2 linked regions of the Stegostoma tigrinum genome follow. The main gene of each other region encodes a partner of the protein of the gene in region 2 in a complex. Links are inferred from orthologs where the notes say so. Each region holds a gene or a part of one and is shown on either strand. Other genes may lie near its edges.

Region 1 (7,853 bases), on a different chromosome or scaffold from region 2:
TTTCAGAAGGACGACTAGATTTTACATTCTTTAAAAGCCTTAAGTTATTTTCATAGGCTTAGAGATCTACTTACAACTTATTTAGATCTTTGTGGATATTTCTTTAGAGAAAAATCAACAGCTTTTTCTGAACAAAAGGTATTGTGTGACTTACTTTGTAGTCACTAGATCTCTCAAACTCATTTGATATCCCGAGTCAAAAACATGTGTGCAACTCATAGAGATACAGAAGCCTTATGGCACAGGAGGAGGTCATTTGGCGCATTGTGTCTGCACCAGCTCTTCGATCATCATTACTTCGCACCAATCTCCTGTTCTTTCCCCATACTTGTTGCATATTATTCTTATCCAAATAATCGACCAATATTTTCTTGAATGCTTCAGTTGAACACTCCTCCACCACTTCCAGGCAGTGCATTCTATATCATAACTACTCAGAGTGATTTTTTTTCATATCACCTTTGCCTCTTTTGCAAATCACTTTAAATCTACCCCCGCAACTTCTTGTTCCTTTTGCAAGCAGGAACAGTTATCCCCATCTGCTCCATCCAGATATACATTATTTTGAAAACTTCGAACAAATGTCCACTTAGCTTTCTTTTCTCCAAGAACAACAATCTCACCTTCGTTCTATGCTCATAACTGTAGTTTCTCATCCCTGAAATCATTTTTGTCAATCACCTTCAAACACTATCCAATGTGGTCATTCCTTTTTGGCACCAAAAACTGTGCATAATACCCTAGCTGAGGTCTAACAAATATCTTATGCAAGTTCAAAACCACCTCCTTACTTTTGTATTCTATGTCCCTGCTAAAAAAAAGCCAAGGATATTGAATGCTTTACTCACTATTCCCTCCTATCTTGCCACCTTTAATGATCTTACATATATATTACGTATATTACAAAACTACACACCCAAGTCCCCACGTCTCTCAACCCTTTTAAGAATTGTACTTCTGTTTAATATTATCTTTCAATGTTTTTCTCGCAAAATACACCACCTCATACTTGTCAAGTCACTAACTGATCTATGTCCTTTTGTAGTTCCACATTGTCCTTCTCACAGCTTTCAAATCTTCCAAGTTTTGTGTCATTAGCAAAATTTGTAATTATTGTCTGCAGAGACCAAAATCTAGATCATCTATTTATATTTTATAAATTATATAGAAAATGTGTGTATGTAGAAAAGGACCCCCACACCCCTCTACAACAAATCTTCCTCCAGCCTCAACAAAATTCATTCACCATTACACCCTGTTTCTTATCATTCAACAAATTTTGTATCCATGTTGCTACTGAATCTTTTATTCCATGACTTACCTTTCCTCACAGGTCTGTGTGTAGTTCAATTGTATGAATCTCTCCTTTAAGTCAGTAGGTTGTATGCTTAAGCCACATTCCAGAGACTTGAACAGCTAATTTAGGCTGATATCACTGGGCAGTACCAAAGTGGCAGTCTATCAGATTATATATTAAACATAGATTCAATTCCAGATCAGGCAATTCATTTTCCCATATTCCTACATGCTCATACTCTCCCCAGAACCCTGTTTGATTTCTGACTTCCCACATACTGTCTGTATTAATAACTACTAACTCCTTCAGAACGTAAGGGCTTATTAGCATATACTGAAACAAATAAAGCAACAGCTACTGAGTAGGTAACAACAAATAACAGAGAAGATTGAAAGGGTGATGGCTAGCAGAGGCTCAGTAAGCTTATCTCCACTCCATACCCAAAAGCACATAGTCCAGGCTGACAATCGAATGCTGCATTTAACCAACACCTAGAAAAGATTATCTAATATTTGGTAATTATTTATTTTCTGTTGTGTAAAGTTGCCATGCACAGATTGGTCAGTGTTTCCTACATTAAAAGTACTTATTGAATGTTTTGGAATGACATAAGACCCTAAAAGTTATTATGAACCTCCTGGAATCCTTCTGCTGCGACCAAATTCAGAGTTGAGCAATTGTTTTGAAAGTCTGACAACAGCTATACGACCAGAGCTGGCTGATTAGCATGATTAACATGTTGATGCTTGAGACGTTGCCTTGAGAGTGTCATCTCAGTTGGGCCACCTTTCTCAAGGCCATATCTGGTGAATCTTGCAAAGACCACTGGTTGATACTTCTCTAATGCTTTAAGGTACAAATATCTAATGCAAGTTCAAAACCACCTTGTTACTTTTGTGTTCTATGTCCCTGCTAAAAAAAAGCCAAGGATATTGAATGCTTTACTCACTATTCTCTCCTATCTTGCCACCTTTAATGATCTGTATATGTATATTACAAAACTACAGACCCAAATCCCTACGTCTCTCAACCGTTTTAAGAATTGTACTTGTTTAATATTATCTTTCAAATATCCCAAGCATATTAAGAAGGCATACAGTGTTTTAGCTTTTATTAAGAAGGCATACAGTGTTTTAGCTTTTATTAATAGAGGGATCGAGTTCCGGAACCAAGAGGTTATGGTGAAGCTGTACAAAATTCTGGTGCGGCTGCACCTGGAGTATTGTGTACAGTTCTGGTCACCGCATTATAAGGATGTGGAAGCTTTGGAAAGGGTGCAGAGGAGATTTACTAGGATGTTGCCTGGTATGGAGGGAAGGTCTTACGAGGAAAGGCTGAGGGACTTGAGGCTGTTTTCATTAGAGAGAAGAAGGTTGAGAGGTGACTTAATTGAAACATATAAAATAATCAGAGGGTTCGATAGGGTGGATAGGGAGAGCCTTTTTCCTAGGATGGTGACGGCGAGCATGAGGGGGCATAGCTTTAAATTGAGGGGTGAAAGATATAGGACAGATGTCAGAGGTAGTTTCTTTACTCAGAGAGTAGTAAGGGAATGGAACGCTTTGCCTGCAACGGTAGTAGATTTGCCAACTTTAGGTACATTTAAGTCGTCATTGGACAAGCATATGGACGTACATGAAATAGTGTAGGTTAGATGGGCTTGAGATTGGTATGACAGGTCGGCACAACATCGAGGGCCAAAGGGCCTGTACTGTGCTGTAATGTTCTATATAGGAGAGCGCGAATCACAGCTGTCCTTTAAACCATGAACTCAGACTCAGAAACAGGAACTTTACGGAGGTCAAGCATATTTGCTGACTCATGGAGACCCCAGCTGTGACCAACTAAAATCGAGAAAGTGCATTCAGAATACATCCAGAAACCTCAAATAAAAGCAGACATTTCAAGTCTGATGTCTCCAGTGAACTTGAAACAATTACATTTTTTTTCTGTCCGAACAGATGCTGCCAGACATGATGACTTTCTCTAGTAATTTTTCTGTGACAGATACTTCAAGCAGAACATGCAGAAGTGAGGTAACGTAGGGAGTAGACAAACCTCAAAACAAACCATTTCCCCAAGTCTATAAGAAATAAAAAGAGGTATAGGCTGTTCAGCCCCTTGAGCCTGCTCCACCATTCAATAGGACTGATACGATTCTTCAAGCATCACATGTCCCACGTAGCACAATCTGCCAATTCTGAAACTGCTGATAAGTCCATTCAACTAGCACAGAAGCACAATCCTTAATCTTGAGATACATGAACATGGAACAAGAGTAGGCCACCCGACCCTTTGAGCCTGCTCCACTATTCAATAAAATCATAGTTGATCTTAGCTTAACGTTTACTCCACATTTGTGCATATCCCCTCTCATCCTCCCGGTCAAGCACCTATCTACTTCTGCCTAGTACTAGAGCTGCCTGACACTACGAAGAAGAAAATATGAATAAAACCTAAATTTAGTTGACACAAAACTGAATTGGGCAGGGCTAATAGATCAGTTGTTTTTTTCTTCTGTCCATTAGTTTTGTGTGCGCAGTTATAACTATTACTCTGAAGTTAACATGGACCGGTCTGTTTCCCTGTCAAACATTTCTAAAATCGATTTTCACATTTTCAGCAGATTACCAATTGATACGTGAAATCAGAACTTTTATTTAAAAAAGCTTGTGATATAAATAAATAAGGAAGTTGAGGTTTGTTGCGTTTTGCACAACAACCTCATTCATGTTCATTTATAGAAAAGATGCGGAAGTTGGACATCTGATACTGGGTTGTCGACATCGAGGAAGACTCCTGAATAAGATCTCAGGATCAGGAGCGAAAGAACACCCGAAAATATCTTATCTCTGAAGTAACATTCAGCTAAACAGTCCTTACGTTTACAGTCAGAGCGAATAAACGTGGTTCCTAAAAAGGAAGACTAGCATTCAGCTTCCTTCATTGTCTTTCTTTCGCAAACAAGACATACACACAAGAGATAATGGGAACTGCAGATGCTGGAGAATTCCAAGATAATAAAATGTGAGGCTGGATGAACACAGCAGTCTCTCTGATGAAGGGTCTAGGCCCGAAACGTCAGCTTTTGTGCTCCCGAGATGCTGCTTGGCCTGCTGTGTTCATCCAGCCTCACATTTTATTATCTAAGACATACACACAATATGCCCACGCACCCCGATTTCTGTAGTCTGAGGTGTTGCGGGATTGCAGAGCACATCGTTTCCCCGGATTGAAGTCGATTTCTCGAGCCTGAAACGGATATAGCACAAGAAAAGTTGCGCAAGAAAGCGGGGAGTGTGTGTGTGACAGCGAGCGAGCATTTTCTTAGTTTACAGCCACTGCATGTCTTGTGACTGATAAGCTGGGTCCGGGACCTGAAACGATCGCGTGCACTACTGACTTTTTAACGGCTGCACCGCGAGCTACAGCTCGCGCTCCAGCCTTCACCCGCTCGGAGCCGGAGTTTGAGCAAGCAAGCAAGCGCCCACCCCCTGCTCCCCACCCACGCGGCGCGAGTGAGTGGCTTTACTCTCCCCCCCCCCCCCCCCCCCCAAACTGCATGGCGGACGGACGGAAGACTGATGAAGTCATGAACTCTCCTCTCTGCCGACTGCTCCTGTGCTAAAGTTGAGTCTTCATTTCCCCCTACGCCACTCCTGTCGCATGTTGATATTTTTATATGTAAAAAGTTTTTCCTCTTCCAACCGGCCCTCTGACTCCCCCCTGTTATTGTGTGTGTGCCTGTACGCGGGGCTGTGACCATGATGGCGGCGGAAGTCGGGAACGATTGCTTGTTGGCGGCGGCTATGACCGTGGCGGCTCCGGGCGCAGATTCGGAGACCGCTGTTTTCCAGTCTTCCCCGCAGAAAGTGTCAGAACTGAGCACCGTGCGGCCTGTCGAGTCCGAATCATTGTCACCACCACCAGCAGCATCAACACCACCGCCTCCGGCCCCGCTCCTTTCCGAACCTGTTGTCGGGGCTTCCCATATCCCCGGTGCTACTGCCCTCCCCGTGCCCCCGGACGAAGTGGATTCTTTCGACGGCCATGAGTTTGAAGAGGAAGAAGTGGAGATCCCGCTGACGGCTCCTCCAACCAACCAGTGAGTAATATGCTAGAGATGGCCTGTCCCAGACAGCGGCCCAGGGGCTTGTCAAGGGGGGGTGAAGAAGGTGGGAGGGAAGGTTCCTGAGAACAAAGAGCCAGTGCCGCAGGCCTGCCATCACACCTGACTCGAAATAATTGTAAACATAAAGCTAACAGAAAAGGAGACAACATAACATGCTTTGTCTGTTGCTACCGAGAGGAGTGTGAATTCATAGTTCACATTAGCCGGAAGCTGATTTTCTAGCTATTATTTACCACATGCTGATTGAAGTCTTGAATGTTCGAGGTGTTCAAAATTGCCTTCTTGTTGAGCAGTGTTCGTTTTAATTTGTTTGGTGCTTTAATGCTGGAATATTCTACGTTGCTGATGATTTACAGGATTTGGAATGATACTGGAAGCTGTTTGCGGATATCAGGAATGTTGTGTAACTGTTGGAGGAAATCGAGACACCTTAGACTTTCTGTTTTACCTTTTTTGGTTTTGTTCATCTTACTGGTTACTGCTCAGTTATATCACATGAATTGTGATTTTAAACATGCTTCTTATGAGTCGCTTCAGTTGGGAGAATGGTTTGATTTATAGCAGATTAGGTGCGTCAATATGAAACTGGTGTTGCAAATACTTAAACATTTTGAAAAGAACTGAGTGGTTGCAAAGTTTTAAGAGACACTGATAAATTTACTCAGGAAAGCATATGCAAACGCTACGGTCAGACCTGCATTCTCGAAGTTAGAATGTTACAGATTATCGGGAAGTGTTTTGTGATTCCTGGATATCAGTTCTCAGTTGCGCACGGTCCTGCGAAATGAACCTTCTGTTTGTAAAGCTAATCACTTTTTAAAATTGTTTAAATTGTATAATAACTTTGAATATCGAAAGTTCACATAATTATAGTGATGTTAAAATCATGCGATCTGTTTTTGATTTTTTTTCAACTCCGATTTAAGTATAGGATTAGACTGTTCTATCTGTCGTATCTGTGTCAATGCAAATATTTCATCGATTGGTTTGTAATTCCAATTCCGTAATTGCATCTTTTAGGATTTTGCTGAAATCCTGAGATTGATATTTTTTGATTATTTGGGGTGATAAATTATAATAACACTTGAGTGCAAGCACCTTAATTTCCAATATTAGCTTTGGTGGTAATCTTGATGGGTTTGCCTTGTTGTGGTGTCGCCATCTATTTGAAATTGACTTGTACACTTTGTGCAAGTATATTCAGAACTCTGAATATTTCCATTTTGTTTTGAATGCATTGTGATTTTTGAACTTTCCCAACACTATGGTGTGTATATCATCTCTAAATTAAGAAAAACACTGGCAGTCGAGAAAAGAATAACAAATAGTGTAGGGGTGAGTGAGAGTTTCAAAGTCAAAGTTGGATTGCGCCAAGAATTGCTTGTCATGGTTGTTCCAAGTAAGCAAATGATACAGAAAGTCTATGATGTGTGCAGATGACATTGGGGATGATGAGAACATGAGTATTTGGAGAATTGTGGAAAAGCATTAAAAGATGGAGATCAGTAGATCAAAGATACAATATGTGGGATGTCCATTTAAGCCTGGGAAAAGAGGATAAGAGTCAATCTGTGGAGATTACAGCTAAAGATCTGGAGAAAATGAATATTTTTAATTATGTGAAATTGGTGGTGGTAGGAGATGAAAGTACGTGCAGTGGAAATTAGTTTTGGTTAGAATATTTGAATTGTTGCGATCCCATCTATAAATTAAACCTGGACAAGTCGGATCACAGAACTGATAGTAAGAACTGCAGATGCTGGAGTCAGAGTTAACAGTGTGGAGCTGGAAGAACACAGCAGGCCAGGCAATATTAGAGGAGCAGGAAAGTTGACGTTTTGGTTTGGTACCCTTCAGCCTGAAACATCAACTTTTCTACTCCTCTGCTGCCTGGCCTGCTGCATTCCTCCAGCTCCACACTGTGTTATCTCCTGGAACAGATGATGTGATTTAGTCAACTACAAGAATTTGTATTTACATTGCAACTTGAGTGTAATGTCCCAAAGCACTTTGCTGAAATGTTGACCTTTTACTACAAAATGATTGATTGAAATGGAAAAGGGAAAAGCAATGCTTCAGTTAAACACTTTTGTTCAGATGCATGCCTATCTGTGTCTTAAATGTGAGACTGATTATTTTTAAATGATACCCCCCATGTTTCTATTCACCTGAGAGAAAGCATCCTCTCAGCATCTACCGCATGAAGTCTTCTCAGGGTTTTGTGTTTCAATAAGATCACCTCTTATTTTTTCCAATGAGTAAAGACGCAATCCTTTGTCAGAACAGTTCCTGGAATGATGGAATCTTGACAAATATGGGATGGAAATGAAAAGGAATGATGGTCATAGTTTGAATAATGCAGAATTTTGAGACGGTGTGGCAGGATTTGAACTCTGTTTTAAAACTGAAGCTTTTGGACCTGGA
Region 2 (7,316 bases):
CACCCCTGGGAATCCATTCTTAGCAGGTGAAACAGCAGAAGAGACAACACTGATTTCTGCACCTAAACCCTCTTCCAAGTCCCTTGGTAATGCCGTATTTGTCAGGTAGCAATCCCTCCTGGCTAAAAAGGTGATAATCAAGAAATCATATAGGAGAAAATTCTGCAGGCTGTAATGCGGAGTGTCTTCATGCAACCCATCAGAAACAACTACCATTAATTCTTTGTTTTAAATTCAAATAGTGATTAAAATTCTGATCTGTGAATGATTTTTTAAAGCAATTCATTGGCCTTCATATTAATTTATTGCAGTATTTTCAAAAATTATATACACTGCTGCAAGGTTATTTGGTCTAATTGATTTTTCACATTCTAACTTCCAAGAATTTAAAAATATGAAGATCAAGATAAAATCATTACAGAAATCAACATGAGAAAATGCCAAGATTGATCTTTGAAGATTACAAATGATTTATAGTTCAGAATGGAACAGAGCCTCTTGCAATTGGAAGATGGCTCATGTCTGCAATTCCTGCTGCATAAACATTCGTCAGTGTAATTTTTCAGAGGCAGGAGGAAGAAAAAGTGAGAGAGAGAGACACATTCTAAGTTAAAAGCGACAAAAATAAAAAGGGATCCAGAGGTTAACGGCAAACAGAATAGAAAAACATCAATAAATGAAATCTAATTCATTAAATATACAGTTCCAATTCTTACAGGGCACGGTTCTACGGCTGCTAACAAGGTCATTCCAGATGCATGAAACTCGCCAGGGAACTTCTGCAGCCTATCCATTCACAGCAATCATCACAACTGAACCTTGAAGCTTTCCTCGCTCACGTCTGTGCACACCCATGTTTCATTGAAAAGCAGCAGTGAAACTACCTGAATATACCTCTGCCCCCTAGAAGGGCAGCTACTATCATGACTAAGGATGGCTTACTCACCACAAGCCACGAATCCTGGGCCTAACTGGTTACATTAAGTTTACAGCTTTCATACTGGCACCTTACACGCACAGGATTTTCCATTTTGTCATGTTAAGATCAATGGAACAGCTCAAAAATCGTGAGGGGGTTTTGATACAGTTACTTAGGTTATTGGCACTGATGGCGAATTGGTAACTGATAAGCATAAGTTGGTCAGCTCAAGAAAAATTATAATTAAATTTGGAGGGGGCTAAATTACACTCACTCCATTAGATCTTACTGGCAACACTGTCTAAAAATAATGCAGTAGATGGGTGGATTAAAGAAACCTTTGTAAAAGGACAGAAGAACTCAGTTTATAATATCACTCCAATTCTGATCTCTTAATGCCTTGTAATACAATCTGGAGAATCCCTCCACCATAGTTCACTGAATCATGAACATAAACAATTCCCCTCACCCCAGCCCATAAAAGTATACTTCGATATAATAAACCAGAAGTCACTCTTTTGGATGCATACCACAAACATGTGCTTAACGCAATGGATACCAACATGTCAAGGCATATTCCACATATATTCAAAAAGGGGGAGGAGGGTTCAGACAGAGTTTGTAGACTTGAAGTCACTGCTTAAACACAGAGTGCACCATGCTCATTAAAAGCAGAAATCACTACATCCGTGAACGTACTATGTTTTATGTCAGCACATACATGCTCTTTAACTGAAAAAAAAACAGAAAGAGAAAGAAACAAGCCCATTCACTTTTTTTTAAAAAAAGCCAAAACAATTTTTTCCTTCTATTTCAGCATCTAACCCTTCTCAACTTTTAGGAATGGAATAAATAGAATGAGAACTTAATATTCAAAATTAATCAATAATCCATTATCCGGACACAGTTATATCTTTATCACTTGTATACGTATTGAGTTTTAAGTCTTTCTTAAAACTAGATTGCCTTGAAGCTGCTCAAACATTTTTTTCTGCAAAAAGCATTTTAAATTATTCTAGGTGCTGCATGTTAGAGGTGACAGCAATATGCCCAAGCAATTAAAAACTAACACCGTAAAATGCAAACAAAAGTCTGAAACAGATACATTTTCTAAACTTTCCTTACATAATCCTACTAATTGTTAAAATTCATTCATTCAGGGAAGAGAAAGGTGTCATTCATTTTTATATGTTTTAACAATGAAAAAATGAAATTAGTTCTTCAACACGTATTGACACATGGATTACTCAACCACATCAAGTAGTCTAAAAAATTTTATTCCATTGACTGCTCTCAAAATACATGTACAAACCAAAAGACACCAGCAAAAATTCCCCCGAAATATTTCCAACGAAATAAATGCTGGGAGGCCAAAATCAGAGAGAAAGAGCAGGTTTAGAATACAAATTAAAGATCCACTCAATGGGAAGAAAAAGAGATTGTAGATGGAAACGTGAGAGATGAGAAAGAAAATAAAACATCTCCCTACCTTTGCTTTCTTTCCACAAGATGAGGCAAATAATAGACACAGGTTTGTTCCTGGGTCTATCTTAAAATTTATGGTCAGCAGACATCTTGTTTTCCTAAGGAATCACAGGACAGATTTGGAGGATAGGGAATGTATGTGGATTAAAGTAATGTGGTTTTTTTCCCCAAACCCTCTCTTTTGCTTTCTCTTTGCTCTCGTTCCTCTTGCAAATCTATGACCGGACAGAAATGGCGGATATTTCTTCCGTACTCGTTCCCTTCAACAACTTTTTCTCTTTGCTGCTGCTAGATTCCCCCCAGGAGTAGACATCGCCCATGATGCTTCTCAGGCCGCCATGGAGGCGCAGTGATTCGATGGGTCAGGTGATCTCTCCTCCTCCAAGAGACAAATATATTTTTCTTTCCTCCTCCTTCCCGATCGTCAAACAATTAGTCAAACATCAACAAAAATCCACCTCCGCACACACCATTCGATAGGCCCCGCCCGATTTTCACTCAAAATTGCCGCCTCAACTATCCCCCTCAAAATAATACTTTAAAAAACTGGCCTCACGACAATGAGTACATTTTTTCACCCCCTTCCCCCTCGCTCCTCCACCATCGTCGTTTGTTTTCCCAACCAAGCTTGATGATTTCATTTTTTTAAATCCCCGCCTACCCTCTCTAGGCTTCCATTGGGCAATCTCCAAGGAGACTCGGATTCCATTGGACATTGATCACGTCAATCAGGTTCGGCGTCCATCCAGCACGTTAGGTTGTAGGCCTCCGGCGGCTCTGAGGGTGGTGGTGGAGCTGAGGGATGTGGAAGGCGACAGCGCCGGATCGGAAGTTGGGTGTGACCGAGGGTGCCGGGAATTGTAGTCTCATCTCCCTAGCTGTATACAGCTTTTGCATTATTTAATTCACTCAGCATTACAATGAATTGTAATGCAATCGTATTCCTCGATTAGTGAGACATCTAAATGTCGATGAGTCACTGCTAGGCTTGATTAACATGGCTAGAATCAAGAGACAAACTTGAGAGTCATTTTCGTGACCTGGGACTTCGTTTGTGTTTTTATAGTAACATCTCCCGGTGAAAAATATTTCCTTAGCATTCCAAAAGGGACGCATTGTGATAGATTTGAATTGTGGTGTTATTGGGAAAGAGAGGAGGAAACGGCCGGGCGCGGATGGAAAGAACTACATTCCCCAGCGTGCCTTGGGTGAGGCTAGCGCATGTGCGGTGGTGGGCTGCGGGTTCTGACAGTCAGCGGTGACTGAAAGGGAGAAAAAAAAGTGTCCCCTCTGAAATAAAATATCATATGTCCCGGCAAAGGGAAAGAAATAAACTCCCATAAAACACAGCTTTTTATAAAAAGAAAACCACACCCAAAAAGCAGAGTCGTAATGGTAAGTAGTGATCTTTTTTTAATTTCCCCATTTCGAAATAGATTGAATGTAGGATGAGGCCTAACGTAAGCCCAGCGATGAAGGGTTTTCTGTAAATTATAAAAATAACGCAAATGAATTAACAAAAGGTGGGTAATTCTTCAAAAAGGCAAACCTTAGGATTGAAATGTTTGCTTTGGTATCTTACAGCCACAGAGTGAATACTTATCGTGAAATAGAGGCCTTGTCGCTTTTCCCTTGCTTAAAGCATCCACTGAGTGTTTTTATGTCGTAAAAGTCAAAAATGGTACAGGTATAATTGAGCTTTTGCATTTTCAAAGGAGCAGTTTTTTGAAGGTGGTAGCCATAATTGACAGGTTTCAACTATCAGGAAAAACTGAACAGGTTTGGGGCTGCTTTCTCCAGAGAAGAAAAAAAGCTTTGGACGACCTGGTAAGGTTCTTCATAAATGTGAAAGGTTTTGTCAGGGCAGATTTCGAGAAGATGGTTCTACATATTGCTCAGACCAGGTCACGTGGGCCATATGTAGATAAGGTGGTCACTGATAAATCCAACAGGAAAATGACTTGGCCCAGAGAGTGGTGAAAACGTTAAACTCACGTTTCTAAGGGTCACTGGACACAATTCAGATTTCTCTCCAGGGATGTTGCCAGACTTGCTGAGTTTTGCCAGCAGTTTCTGTTTGTGTCACTTTCATAAGGCATAGCTGAGAATAATTTAACTGAAGTTCATAAAAATGCGAGGACAAAAGGAATAGGACAATCTTTTGAGGGGGTTAGAGAAGAAAGGATTGAAGGAACCTTGGATGGAGTGTAAACCCGGGTATGGTCCTGTTAGGGTGAAAATGTTTTGATTTTACATTTGCTTTGTAAATCCGAAATGCATACCAAATGCTAGAAATGTGCATTAGGTTTTGTTTTTAGGGAACAAATTTATCTAACAGGTCCATGATAAAATTGATTTATTCTGAGTTTTTTTATTTTGGTTCTGATACTTTAGTTATGCTTCCATAAAATAAGGGAGGACATGCAAATTTGTTTCTTTCCCTCTCAATTTTATGGATCATCTTGAGAGAGCATCTGAAGAAGACCAGTTAGTGTTTTGGAACTGGACCATACCTCTAAATTTTAGGACCAAGAACTTGACTTCCTTTGGATCTGCATATGTTCAGGGTATCTCGCAAGAAATAAACTAAATTTAATGTTTCGGTAGGAAAAACTAATGATATTACGTGAAAAGTTCTAGTGTTTGCTATTTTCACAAAGAAGCAAGTAATTGAATTAACAACCAGTTAATAGATTTAGAAACAGTACAAAGATGTGTAAATTACTTTAAAGCATAGGCAAGGATACCTCAATTTAGGAGACAGATGCATAGAATTTGAAAGGTCAAAGGAATGACAGCAGCCACAGCAATTTATATTTCAAGAGAAAAGGGTGTTGATTGGATAGAAAGTGGATTCTGACAGTCAGGTGTTGCCATGAAGAAAGCAATGAAGATATGACAGGTTCCCTGATCTTACAGATAATTCAAAGGCGACACAAGCATTGAGCATATTCTTTTTGTTTGCAGAGGATGGGCCCCTGTATATATGAGAGTGTGCATTTGAGCTTCAAACTGATGAAGCATGTTGGCAACCTACATCTTCCTTGCTCTGTGACCAAATGTAGGAATTGTGTAGTTTTGCATTTCAGTAAAATATTTGATTTTCCTCTATCCCTAAGGAAAACATCCCCTCTGAGGAATTACCAGAGATCAACAAGCTACATCTGGGGAATTGTCAGACCTCTTACCTTCACAATTCCTTTGCATTCCTTGAAATGGCAAAGTAATCATGATTATAATCTTAAATTCTCTGTCAATGTGATGGGACCTAGGCAAAGGGTTTTTGTTATGTGGCTTACAGTTGATCTGTATGCATTGCGTCTTCTGTCCCATACCATATGTGCACTCAGTTGGAATATCTACATTGCTTTCAAATTATTGCCCTTGGATTTCTTCTCATTTCTGGGGCAATTCTGCATTTTCTTCCATCCAGTTACAAAAATTAAGAATAAATTGGGCTATGTCCTATTCCCAAGTTTTTTTCAAGTGGATGTGGTCAATCACTGTTTGATATATCTGGTACCTGGGATGAAGAAGTTGTCCTATAAGGAAAAATTGAGGTATGGGTGTTACTGGTTGAGCATTGCACATCACCAGTTGCCCTTTAGATGGTGGTGCGCTGCCCCATTGAACTACTGAAATCCATTTAGTGTAGATACAACCACATGCTGTTTAAGAGGCATTCGACCTTGCAACATTTTCTATAGTGTTAAATCTGCTATGGGGTTGCATTTGATAATAGATTGTAAATTTTTTCAGAATGGAGTATGAATTTTATTTGTATAGCTGAAGACATTTTGAATAAAATCATTCATTTTACCTGGATTTATTTTGAATTTACACTGGGGACATATATTTCATAAATGGAGGCCATTTTCGCAATATACTTCAGCAGCTTGGGTAACTATATTCCAGAATATTTTGGGATTGTCGTTAAAGTAATACCACTTTATCTTTTATCTCCAGATACAAGTACAAGTCTTGCTCAGTCTAATATAATTTAAGTATTCTCATTACAGGTTAGAATGGTGAGTTTTAACCTTGTTCCCAAAGACTAAGAGCGCAAAGCTGACTGTCAGTCAATAGGGAGTCATAGAATGGGAATGCTTTAGAAGTGTCCTGCTACAGTCACAGCTGATGCAGGCTGGGTCAGTTGGTGCTAATGCTAGGTTTCAAAAATGAAAAAGTTTTATTTTCTCATCTCTTATCCTGATGATTAAAAAAGCTCACTAAATTAAATATTGCTAAGTCACATTTTTTGCAATTCAGAATTGACCTGTTCATTGTTAATTTATTCCATCGGTGGGTACAAATTATTTAAAAGTTTAACTGAAGTGGGGTCTGTTTCCAGGGCTATTTTTTAAGGATGTTGTTTCTTTTCCTGAGGATTTCCTAGTTTTAAACAGTATTCTCCCACCCTACATTACCAACCACCAGTCTAATTAGAGACTTCATCAGCATTGTGTCCTGAGCCGCTGAGTTAGCAGACAGGACTTCCTGATTAGTGCCAACACTTAATAGAAATACTTGAATGGAAAGAAGAGCTAGCTAATGCTTTTACTTAAAAAATAAAGGACCTAATATTCAATTTTAGCAATGCTAATGTGTACATGTTTATTTTTGCAGCATAGCTAAAACCCAATGTCCAGTCATGTCGAATTAACCAATGCAGAATAATCAAATACTGTAGTTGTTGACAGCAGCATATTAAATGAATGCCATTGATGTTAGTGTGCTTTTAATATTGGCCAAAGTGAAGAATTGTGCCAGATAATGACAATTTTCAAATTCCATCATCTATGGACTTGAATGGGTTTGAGAAGGGCAGTAAACATAGACATAAAATGACTGCAGTAATTACCTGATCCCAGATTGATTTCCTAGACTTCTTTCAATGGGGAGTAAACAAAAT

The links.
Region 1: the proteins of arhgap35a (region 2) and ras GTPase-activating protein 1-like are in contact, whole or in part, in a crystal structure (PDB 8DGQ), measured with the Homo sapiens proteins. The link is inferred for Stegostoma tigrinum from reciprocal best matches to the Homo sapiens genes ARHGAP35 and RASA1. Residues at the interface, in NP_004482.4 of Homo sapiens: Ser1085, Asp1086, Tyr1087, Ala1088, Glu1089, Pro1090, Met1091, Asp1092, Ala1093, Val1094, Val1095, Arg1098, Glu1100, Asn1103, Ile1104, Tyr1105, Ser1106, Val1107, Pro1108, His1109; in NP_002881.1 of Homo sapiens: Arg188, Arg207, Ser209, Arg211, Val217, Asn228, His229, Phe230, Arg231, Ile241, Gly242, Tyr256, Leu262, Leu263, Lys264, Lys358, Ser379, Asp380, Asn381, Ser387, Gln397, Arg398, Phe399, Lys400, Met411, Gly412, Gly413, Arg414, His425, Tyr426.

The regions. Positions count from the first base shown.
Region 1 is NC_081356.1:95,788,512-95,796,364, reverse strand, and holds the start of ras GTPase-activating protein 1-like, read left to right. Parts: upstream 1-4,851; 5' UTR 4,852-5,061; coding exon 5,062-5,402; intron 5,403-7,853. UniProt on the Homo sapiens protein: Inhibitory regulator of the Ras-cyclic AMP pathway. Stimulates the GTPase of normal but not oncogenic Ras p21; this stimulation may be further increased in the presence of NCK1.
Region 2 is NC_081392.1:11,809,993-11,817,308, forward strand, and holds the start of arhgap35a (rho GTPase-activating protein 35), read right to left. Parts: upstream 3,012-7,316; 5' UTR 2,409-3,011; intron 1-2,408. Other genes in the region: ap2s1 (AP-2 complex subunit sigma), read left to right, coding at 3,797-3,799.